Neodiprion lecontei: one gene and its partner. The protein of the gene in region 1 binds, or shares a complex with, the protein of each later gene. Links are inferred from orthologs where the notes say so. Each region holds a gene or a part of one and is shown on either strand. Other genes may lie near its edges.

Region 1 (4,884 bases):
GCCGCCCCCTCGCGCCGCCCTTGTTATTAGTCGACGGTACACACACACGCACACACACACACACACCCATGTATAGATGTGCCCACCCTAAATTCACTCGGTCGCGTTGGAACGCGCACAAATTTTGCCCCGAGGTGAGAGAAGCAGCGTCTCCTCTCGCTAGCTCTACACTCGCGCGATATTCTCTTCAACTATATTCCCTATTTGCGCCTCGAGTGTATATATAGGTAGGTATAATGTACCATACATACGTTGCCTTGGATCAAACTCGGTGTTTTTTCATGCCTTGTATGTACGCGGCGTAGGGCAGAGTGGGTCTAAACGAACCTCTCTCTCTCTCTCTCTCTCTCTCTCTCTCTCTCTCTCTCTCTCTCTCTCTCTCTCTCTCTCTCTCTCTCTCTCTCTCTCTCTCTCTCTCTCTCTCTCTCTCTCTCTCTCTCTCTCTCTCTCTCTTGGATAAAAAGTGAGGGGTTAGCTAAAGGGGAACCATTTACGGAAGAAGGTGAAATTGATAATTGATAGCGTAAACACAGTACACCGATTAGATGGTAATCTAACTCTGAACGTTTAAATCGACGCAAACGATTGGAAAACTACTGTACTTTGCCGTGATTTTGTTAAGGTGGCTGCTTAGATCCGCTCTTTCTCATCACACGTCGACGCGCATACGCGGTACCGATAAATACAACGTATGACCCGCATATAATGTTAATACATATATTATGTAGGTATGGACGTACACGTAAATGTACGTAGACACGTAGGTACAGACTTATAACGCGTATTTACGATCCCTGCAATTCATATACGACTATAGATAGATAAAGTGTGTATATGTACAATGAGGGGGAGCATGGGCGTCGAGACCGCGTGCCGTTGCGTTGATTACTTGATGGCGAGGTCGCGGGTCTTCTCGCGAGACGGACGGGAAGGTCGGCCCCCTCTACCCTCCGTCCTCACCTCGACGCAGTTTTTGCCCGATCGCCGTCCACCTCGCAATTTGGTCGCGCGACTCCGTCGTGCGCGCAAGTCGGATTTAAACCGCCTCACCGCGGCCTCGCGCGAATCTGATCAGACAAATAAGTCTATGCCATAGGTACGTAAGGTGCGTACGTACAACGCAAGTATGCGTGTGCGCGCGTGTGCGTATAGACGCAGGAGCAGCCGCCAATAAACGCCTCGGCGGCAACCTCGAATCGCTCGCGATATACTATATTCCCTCCGCGGCCGGGAAGACCCTAAGTATGTATGGGCATCCACGGTTGCGTACATGCACGCGTACGTTCGTACGATATTCCCAGGTTGACGGGGGTACCGTACGAAGAAACGAACACGCGGAGAGAACGCGAGCGATCGCGCGCGGTTTAGTTCTCTACGTTGTTCGGCTGGCTCGCGGTGAGTCACGCATCGCGAGCTTCCTGTTGCCAGCCTGCCTGCTTGCCTGCCTGCCATGCCTGCCTGCCCGCCCGCCCGCCTGCCTGCCAGCCTGCCAGCCTGTCCGCGACCACCCTTCGTCCTCCCGTCGCCTCCTGGGCCTGTCCTTTTGTCTGACGATCCGTCGGTCCGTCCGATAATCCGCCCGCCGGCTCGTCGTGCCCGCAAGACCGTCGGCTCGTCCGTCACCCGCAGGGTTAAGGGTCTCCTTTTATCTCTGCAAAAGTAAACACGAACCTTCCAAGAGCCGCAAATTCCTACGCATTGCTCCATGGGCGTACCGATACGCGCTTGCACGCACGGCATGCCTAGGAACTACCGTAGCGTACTACGTTGTGTATCACGCCGCCGTGTAACCCATTTCTCGTTTGTCACACAACTATATGCATACTTAGAGATGTCGTATTATCGAGAAGATCCGTGTGTGACTATGGATTGCGAAGAATGTCTTATCGTCCCCTCGTGCTGAGCACACATGCGTCACAATTATACAAATTTCCATCAGGTTATGCGTATCTCATAATCATCGATTGATTCGGGAATTAACCATCTTTACGTTCGACTACGCATACAGGACAGTCAATCGGCTGATGATGACGCAGGAGGTACGCCGATGCTCAAACCCATGCGGAAAATATTGAATTTCCGTTACAAAATTCAAATTCACGTTTCGCGCCAAGACTCACTGCCACTGTACATCTCTCTCTCTCTCTCTCTCTCTCTCTCTCTCTCTCTCTCTCTCTCTCACTCGCTGTCTCTTTCTCTCATTCTCGTCTACACGTTGGGGTTGGTCCGGAGCGCCGACGCACCGATTGTACACAACTGCAGCGCGCGTGTAAGGAAGTACACCGCGAGTTTACGTAGCCGAAAATAATACACCACTGCTAAGCAGGGCATCATGTGACGTATGCAATTACGATGTACCTATGTACGTACGCACGCATGCGACACGGCCGGACGCGATACAACTTGCGCGTTCCCCTCTCTACCGACTGATTGGAATCGGAGCCTAAGCACCGTACCACACATTATCAATAGATTTCATTTAATAATAGCTTTTCGGCCGTGAATATGGAGCGGATGATTTGTAGAGCAACAAATTTTTCTCTTGCATAGATTTTCATCGGTCAAGAGCGTGTCCCGGTACGGACCAAAGCTCGGCAAACATTCGCCGGGTCGCATAATTAGCGATCGAATGTATCTTGCAGCGTACAATAATGATTATTGCCTGAAATGGCCTGTTGGCCTTAACGATATGTAAGTAAACTCTTGTTTATTACTCCTTTATTGAACACATTTCGACAAAATAATTCGTTCCGGGAAGGACCCCATTCGGGCCGGAAGGTGAACATTAAAATTTTGTTTCAAAAAATTTGACCTGCATTTCCAAGATAACAACCAAGCTAATGATTATTCCTTTACATTGTTCTGAATCTACTTCGAATGTCTGATGATAGATCGTATCCATCCGTCCGCGCTGCTTTAGCAATGCTTTATACTCCGGTAAGGATCGAAGGTGTGGTGAACATGGAAAATGAGCGGGAGGATAGAGATGGAGACATTCACCGACTTCAGCATTGCGTACCGAAGCTACATGCTTGGCCCGCCGCACACCCAACTAAGCTTAAAATAGAATTGACCGTTGAATATTGCGGCCTGTACCCGACTACCTACTACCTACTACCTAATATACCTTATCCGTACATCCTATACCTTAGCGACTTAGAAGCAGTAGGAATACGCGGAACCGTTTACTGCAGCCCCGAAGGACCGCGCGGGTGGGTTTTGACCATGAAAATTTCGTGCGAATGGTATATGTATACATAGAAAGAGAAAGAGAGAGAGAGAGAGAGAGAGAGAGAGAGAGAGAGAGAGAGAGAGAGAGAAAGAGAGAGGTTGGGGGTGAAGGAAAGAGGAGGTATATGCGGCTATATGCTACGTGGGTAAGACCGTCGGGTCTCTGCGGCTTTTAGAGCCTGCAGGATACATCGCGGCGACGACGGTGCATCATGCGGGTCTCGCGAGTGAACCAAGTGTCGCAGCTGTTGCCTCTGCTTCCCGATCTCACAAAGGCTCTCGCATCTTTGCGCGAGCATATGTACAACGTGCGCGTTGTACGTTAACGCGTACGTACGTACAGCCACGGTGTTTGATTACGACCGTTTTACAGGGCTCTGCTACCATTTATTTGACCCGCGAAGCACGCGACACGGGTGGCCTTGAAGCGGTCAGAATTCAATACCGTAGGTGTACGTTCTTCGCCGAGCCTAGGTCTCCGGCTCATATACACGTATGTATATACTATATATCGGTTATATATGCAGATATACATGATATAACGTATATGGTATATAATACGTTAAGTAGTACATAATTCGTATGCAGTGGTGGAATGTCGCGTCATCGTCGCCGGATCGCCGGTAAATGTCTCGACGACGTCGCCGACGCTCGCTGCCGTAGCTGCAGCGCGGGCAGAGCCACCGAAGCACGTAATGCCGGGCACACCGAAAGGCGCGCGGAATCGCGAACCCTCGCATCCTGTCTGTCATCCAGGACGGCTGGCTGGGCTGTAGCCCCCCCCCCCTATCTTCCCCCTTACTACCGTGGTTCTCGTCCCCGTATGCACATGGTTTGTACGAAGGTATAGTTATGCAGCAGCGTATGTATGTGCGTAGGACGAGTGCGCACACACCGCACATGTTATATATTTATAAACGTGTGGGTAGATCGGCGAGATATCGAAAGCCTGCAGTCTTTGACAATCCATTAACGCAAATATTCGAATCCGCAACTACGTATCGTCATTACGTCCGTTCCGTACAATAGCGTAGCACTAGTGTAAAGAATAACATGAGAAATTGACGGATCCTCGCCACTTTACGAACACAATCGCGCAGATGCTCGTATTTAATGCCCGCACCCACACGTACCATGTTACATACTGTTGAAATGAAACGCATTTTCATGCGAGAAATTCGACAGCGATAGAATCGCGACGTGTATGCAAATTTTATTCGCAGATCTAAATACACGTAGGATCCATTAATTTAAAATCAACCGGATATCGGTGTAACTGTCCAAAGGTGTGATATGCAAACACTGTCCGGAGCGAAGTGATGGGTTATATCGATGCCAAAATTTTGTCAGTCACAATCAGTCGACGGCGAAATCAAGTTATATAGTCGATAATACGATCAGGCATACGCTTCGTTGAAGAGAAGCAATTTTCTACAATGTATCCTACAGGAACGCGTATACGCGTATAGTGTACAATGTAGACTAGAGGAGCTATACTTACTTACCTTCGTCGCGTTTATGGTTCTGAATTGGGAAAGTTGAAAAAATAGCCGTATCGTCATAGTACGTTAGTATTTTTTTTTTCCTTCGCCTAATCGAGCGAACCTATTATCGGAAACCGTTCGCTTGCCCGCGTATGCCGTTTAATTATCC
Region 2 (3,379 bases), about 26 Mb from region 1:
AGAAATAAGCGAAAATTACAGGATTAACATAGTTGCAAAGATTCGAATTTGAGTAACTGAGTACTTAATGATCGTTATTAATGATAGTTATAATTATTGTTAGTAATTTTGGTTTCTGCTTTCAGCTCATGTACAATCAAGTAATGTTGCAAAGTGAGGATCTTGCTAACTCTGTCATGGCACAGGTGAGCAAGAGTGGGGAAGCGCCTGTGTTCTCCAAACTGTGAAGGATAGAGACCACTATTTGTCAGCGAAATCAGGTTCCGACTACCTGTTTTTCTGTAACTATGACCAATGTAAACAAAGATAAATTAGGGAACTTGACTGTTTAATAGCCAATATTTTTATCACTGCATATCCGTAAATCGCAGTATCAGTCTTACAATTGGACATCAATTATTTTTGGTAATAAATCGATTTCAATACTCAAAAAGTACATTGAGAATGTAATTATAGTCTAGCTATTACACAGTGACTATAAAAATAGTAATATTGTATGTACTTGAGAATTTCACGGACAAACTATGTTTAATTTTCTTTTGTTCATAATTTTGACAGTGTCAATGAGGTACCGAGGCATCAATAAGGCTGCCCAAACCTCGTTTCTTAGGCATGGCCGCAAGCCGATCAGCCTCAATTTTATCGGCAACTTTATAAGGATTGGTATCATCCGGATATTTTAACTATGCAGGGAAAAAACCAGAAATTCTGTATGTAACGGGTAGAAGGACAGAATCGTTGAATCTGATCTTTTACATGGATTATGTTTTGAATCTCGAGCTATACTCACAATAAGCAGATTGATAAAGTGTTCATAGTTGATTCTATTCGTTGCGGGGTCACAAGCTACAAACATCATCTCGTTTACTTCATCTTGAGTAAAAGGCTCTCCCAGTTCCATCAGTGCTTTTGCCAAATCATCTCTCATAATATAACCGTGGTTTTCAGGATCAAATAGCTGGAATGCTTTCAATAATTCCTCAGGTTCTGCTGGCTTTAATCTGAGGATAATTTTCCATAATTGCTACTTGGTATTCATGACTCTTACTTGCTGACAATGATACTTGGATCAACGTATGCGGAGAGAGTCAGACTCACTTGTGTTCGTTAATGGTTTTAGTCATATATTCTACAAATCTGGATTGTGAAACGGAATTATTTTCCACATCCTCCAACTGAACTTGAATTTCCTGCAATTCTGCCTCAGTCATAACACATCCTGTAACCCAGGCAAATAAATTTCAGTCAAAAATGCAAGGAAGGACAGTTTCAGACTTGCTACATTCTAGTTTGAAGAGTATTCCCCTTTTAGTGCTTACCTAGCGATCGTATCATTGTTCCCAAGTCTCTGACATCCACTTCTTGGATTTTGGCAGTGTCAAAGACGTCAAATGCATTGTGTATCAGTTTTTCCAATAGATTCGGCCCTTTTAGTGAAATAAGCTTGTGTTATTCACCACTCTGAATGTTAAATTTAGATTTAGGTGCGATAACCAGAAATGACTGTTAGAAGAATTGCATCAGCGTAAAACATAATCTAAAATCGTGACCGACGATGCGATTATGTGAACGCTAATGCAAAGGGATAAAAAATTAAGCTTTAAGAACAGAAGATACCCTCCGAACTTGATAAAGACAATCCCCGTTTCATTACTGAACTTCTGCGGCGTACCTCGCTATTTCGTTCTTGCGCCATATTGACCAAATAAAATCACCCCTAAGACCGTTACTGCGAGTTACCGCGATGGTGTGTGTATTACGGAAAGAAGATATCGCGAAAAGAATTCATTTCATTACGTATTTTTTCGCGCTCTTATCCCGCGGATGTCATCATCGACAACTGAACGAACATTTAGGGTGTGAAGATTAACTAAAAAAAAAATTGCACGGGGTGTGCTGTAAGCCAGTTCATAATTACCGCCGCCCGAAACATCCCTACTTTGGCCAATCGGATCGCTTTTCGTCGGTATATGTCAAATGAAAGAGTAAGTTTGATTGACTGTCGCAATGGCGTCGTTTCGAATTCGCGTCCGACGAGCCAATCGGATATGCCGTATCACTCCGCGTATTGTTTGCAATGTCGCCGCCATATTGCGAGCGCAGCGCGGGTCACCGTCGCGTGTATGGCTCATTCCTGAAAGCATTTTCGATCGAGTAAATATTGTGCGGTTGTTTGTAAAATAAATAAATCCATCGCCATGGATCCCGCGAAGCTGAAAGTGGTCGAGCTGCGGGCAGAGCTCTCTCATCGCGGTCTCGATACCAAAGGAAATAAAGCTGTCCTCGTCGAGCGACTCCGCAAGGCTTTGGAGGACGAAGAAGCCGAAGACCGTAAGAAAACATTCGGCTTACCGCTCACTAGGCGTTACTGCTTATCCCAGTAGTTTCCCGCTTAAATTGCGTCCAAACACGGCGTCTAATACAGTCTAGTCACTGGCGCCGGAAAACTGTTTACTCCTCGATTGGAACACCCCGATATCCCAACCTATTTCCAACCTGTCTTCCTTACCTCAGGACGCCGTGATTTTTTATGCATCTGATTTCCATTTTACTTATTATCAGGAAACGCAACAATCTCAAATTCAATTATGTATGCTCCAGTGTTATTTGTTACTTTTCATTCATTTAGAAGTCGAAGAAACGACGATCCCTGAGTCGAACGATGAGGTAGGTGTGGATACCAGGGAGGCACAACCACACGAGCAGTCGCCAGAGCCGGAACCTGCAAAACCCTCACCAACCGCTAAAACACCCGGGGGGCGATCTGCTCGCAGCGCTTCAGCTACCAGCCCTTCCAAAACACCTTCGAGAGCAGCTGCGAGGGCGAAACAATCGCCTTCTCCAGCCAAAGCTCCACCACCGGAAGAACAGAGGAAGCCTTCCCCTGTACCTGAGGAACCAGCTCCCGAGCCAGATGCGCGCGAACCTGAGGTCCCTCCTCGAGTTGCAACGCCTGAAAATATTACAGATCCCTCCACAAGATCACCAGTGAAAGAATCACATACAGTTAGCCCTGAGAAGATAGAGCCGCAGCCTGAAGAACATGTCGAATCCGTTCTCGCAAGTGTGGAGGAGAGTCCGCAGCAAATGGAAGAACCTGTTTCACAATTTGAAGTACAATCTGATTTCACGAAAACCGCTACAGAACAACAAGTGAATGTGCCTGAAAAAACAGAAGAGCATTCGACTACCGTAATGGAACAGCAGCCACAAGAAGAATTTGTTGAGGAAACGCCTCCAGAAACCAAAGTTTCACATAGCTCCGAACCACTAGAAAAACTTGAACCAGTTGAATCTGCAAACCAAAATGATGAGAATCTTGATCCTGTCAAGGAAGAAATGGCTAAAGATGATGAAATGAACAATGAAGAAGAATCGA

What was found.
Region 2: dynein regulatory complex subunit 7-like (region 1) and dynein regulatory complex protein 8-like share a complex: the UniProt entries of both Homo sapiens proteins name them as parts of the nexin-dynein regulatory complex. The link is inferred for Neodiprion lecontei from reciprocal best matches to the Homo sapiens genes DRC7 and DRC8.

The regions. Positions count from the first base shown.
Region 1 is NC_060266.1:422,745-427,628, reverse strand, and holds the start of dynein regulatory complex subunit 7-like, read right to left. Parts: upstream 3,019-4,884; 5' UTR 3,013-3,018; coding exon 3,001-3,012; intron 1-3,000. UniProt on the Homo sapiens protein: Component of the nexin-dynein regulatory complex (N-DRC) a key regulator of ciliary/flagellar motility which maintains the alignment and integrity of the distal axoneme and regulates microtubule sliding in motile axonemes.
Region 2 is NC_060266.1:25,923,902-25,927,280, reverse strand, and holds dynein regulatory complex protein 8-like, read right to left. Parts: upstream 1,734-3,379; 5' UTR 1,697-1,733; coding exon 1,618-1,696; intron 1,428-1,617; coding exon 1,320-1,427; intron 1,220-1,319; coding exon 1,099-1,219; intron 1,002-1,098; coding exon 791-1,001; intron 684-790; coding exon 561-683; downstream 1-560. Other genes in the region: delta(3,5)-Delta(2,4)-dienoyl-CoA isomerase, mitochondrial, read left to right, coding at 126-227; heterogeneous nuclear ribonucleoprotein U-like protein 1, read left to right, coding at 2,199-2,331, 2,630-3,379. UniProt on the Homo sapiens protein: Component of the nexin-dynein regulatory complex (N-DRC), a key regulator of ciliary/flagellar motility which maintains the alignment and integrity of the distal axoneme and regulates microtubule sliding in motile axonemes.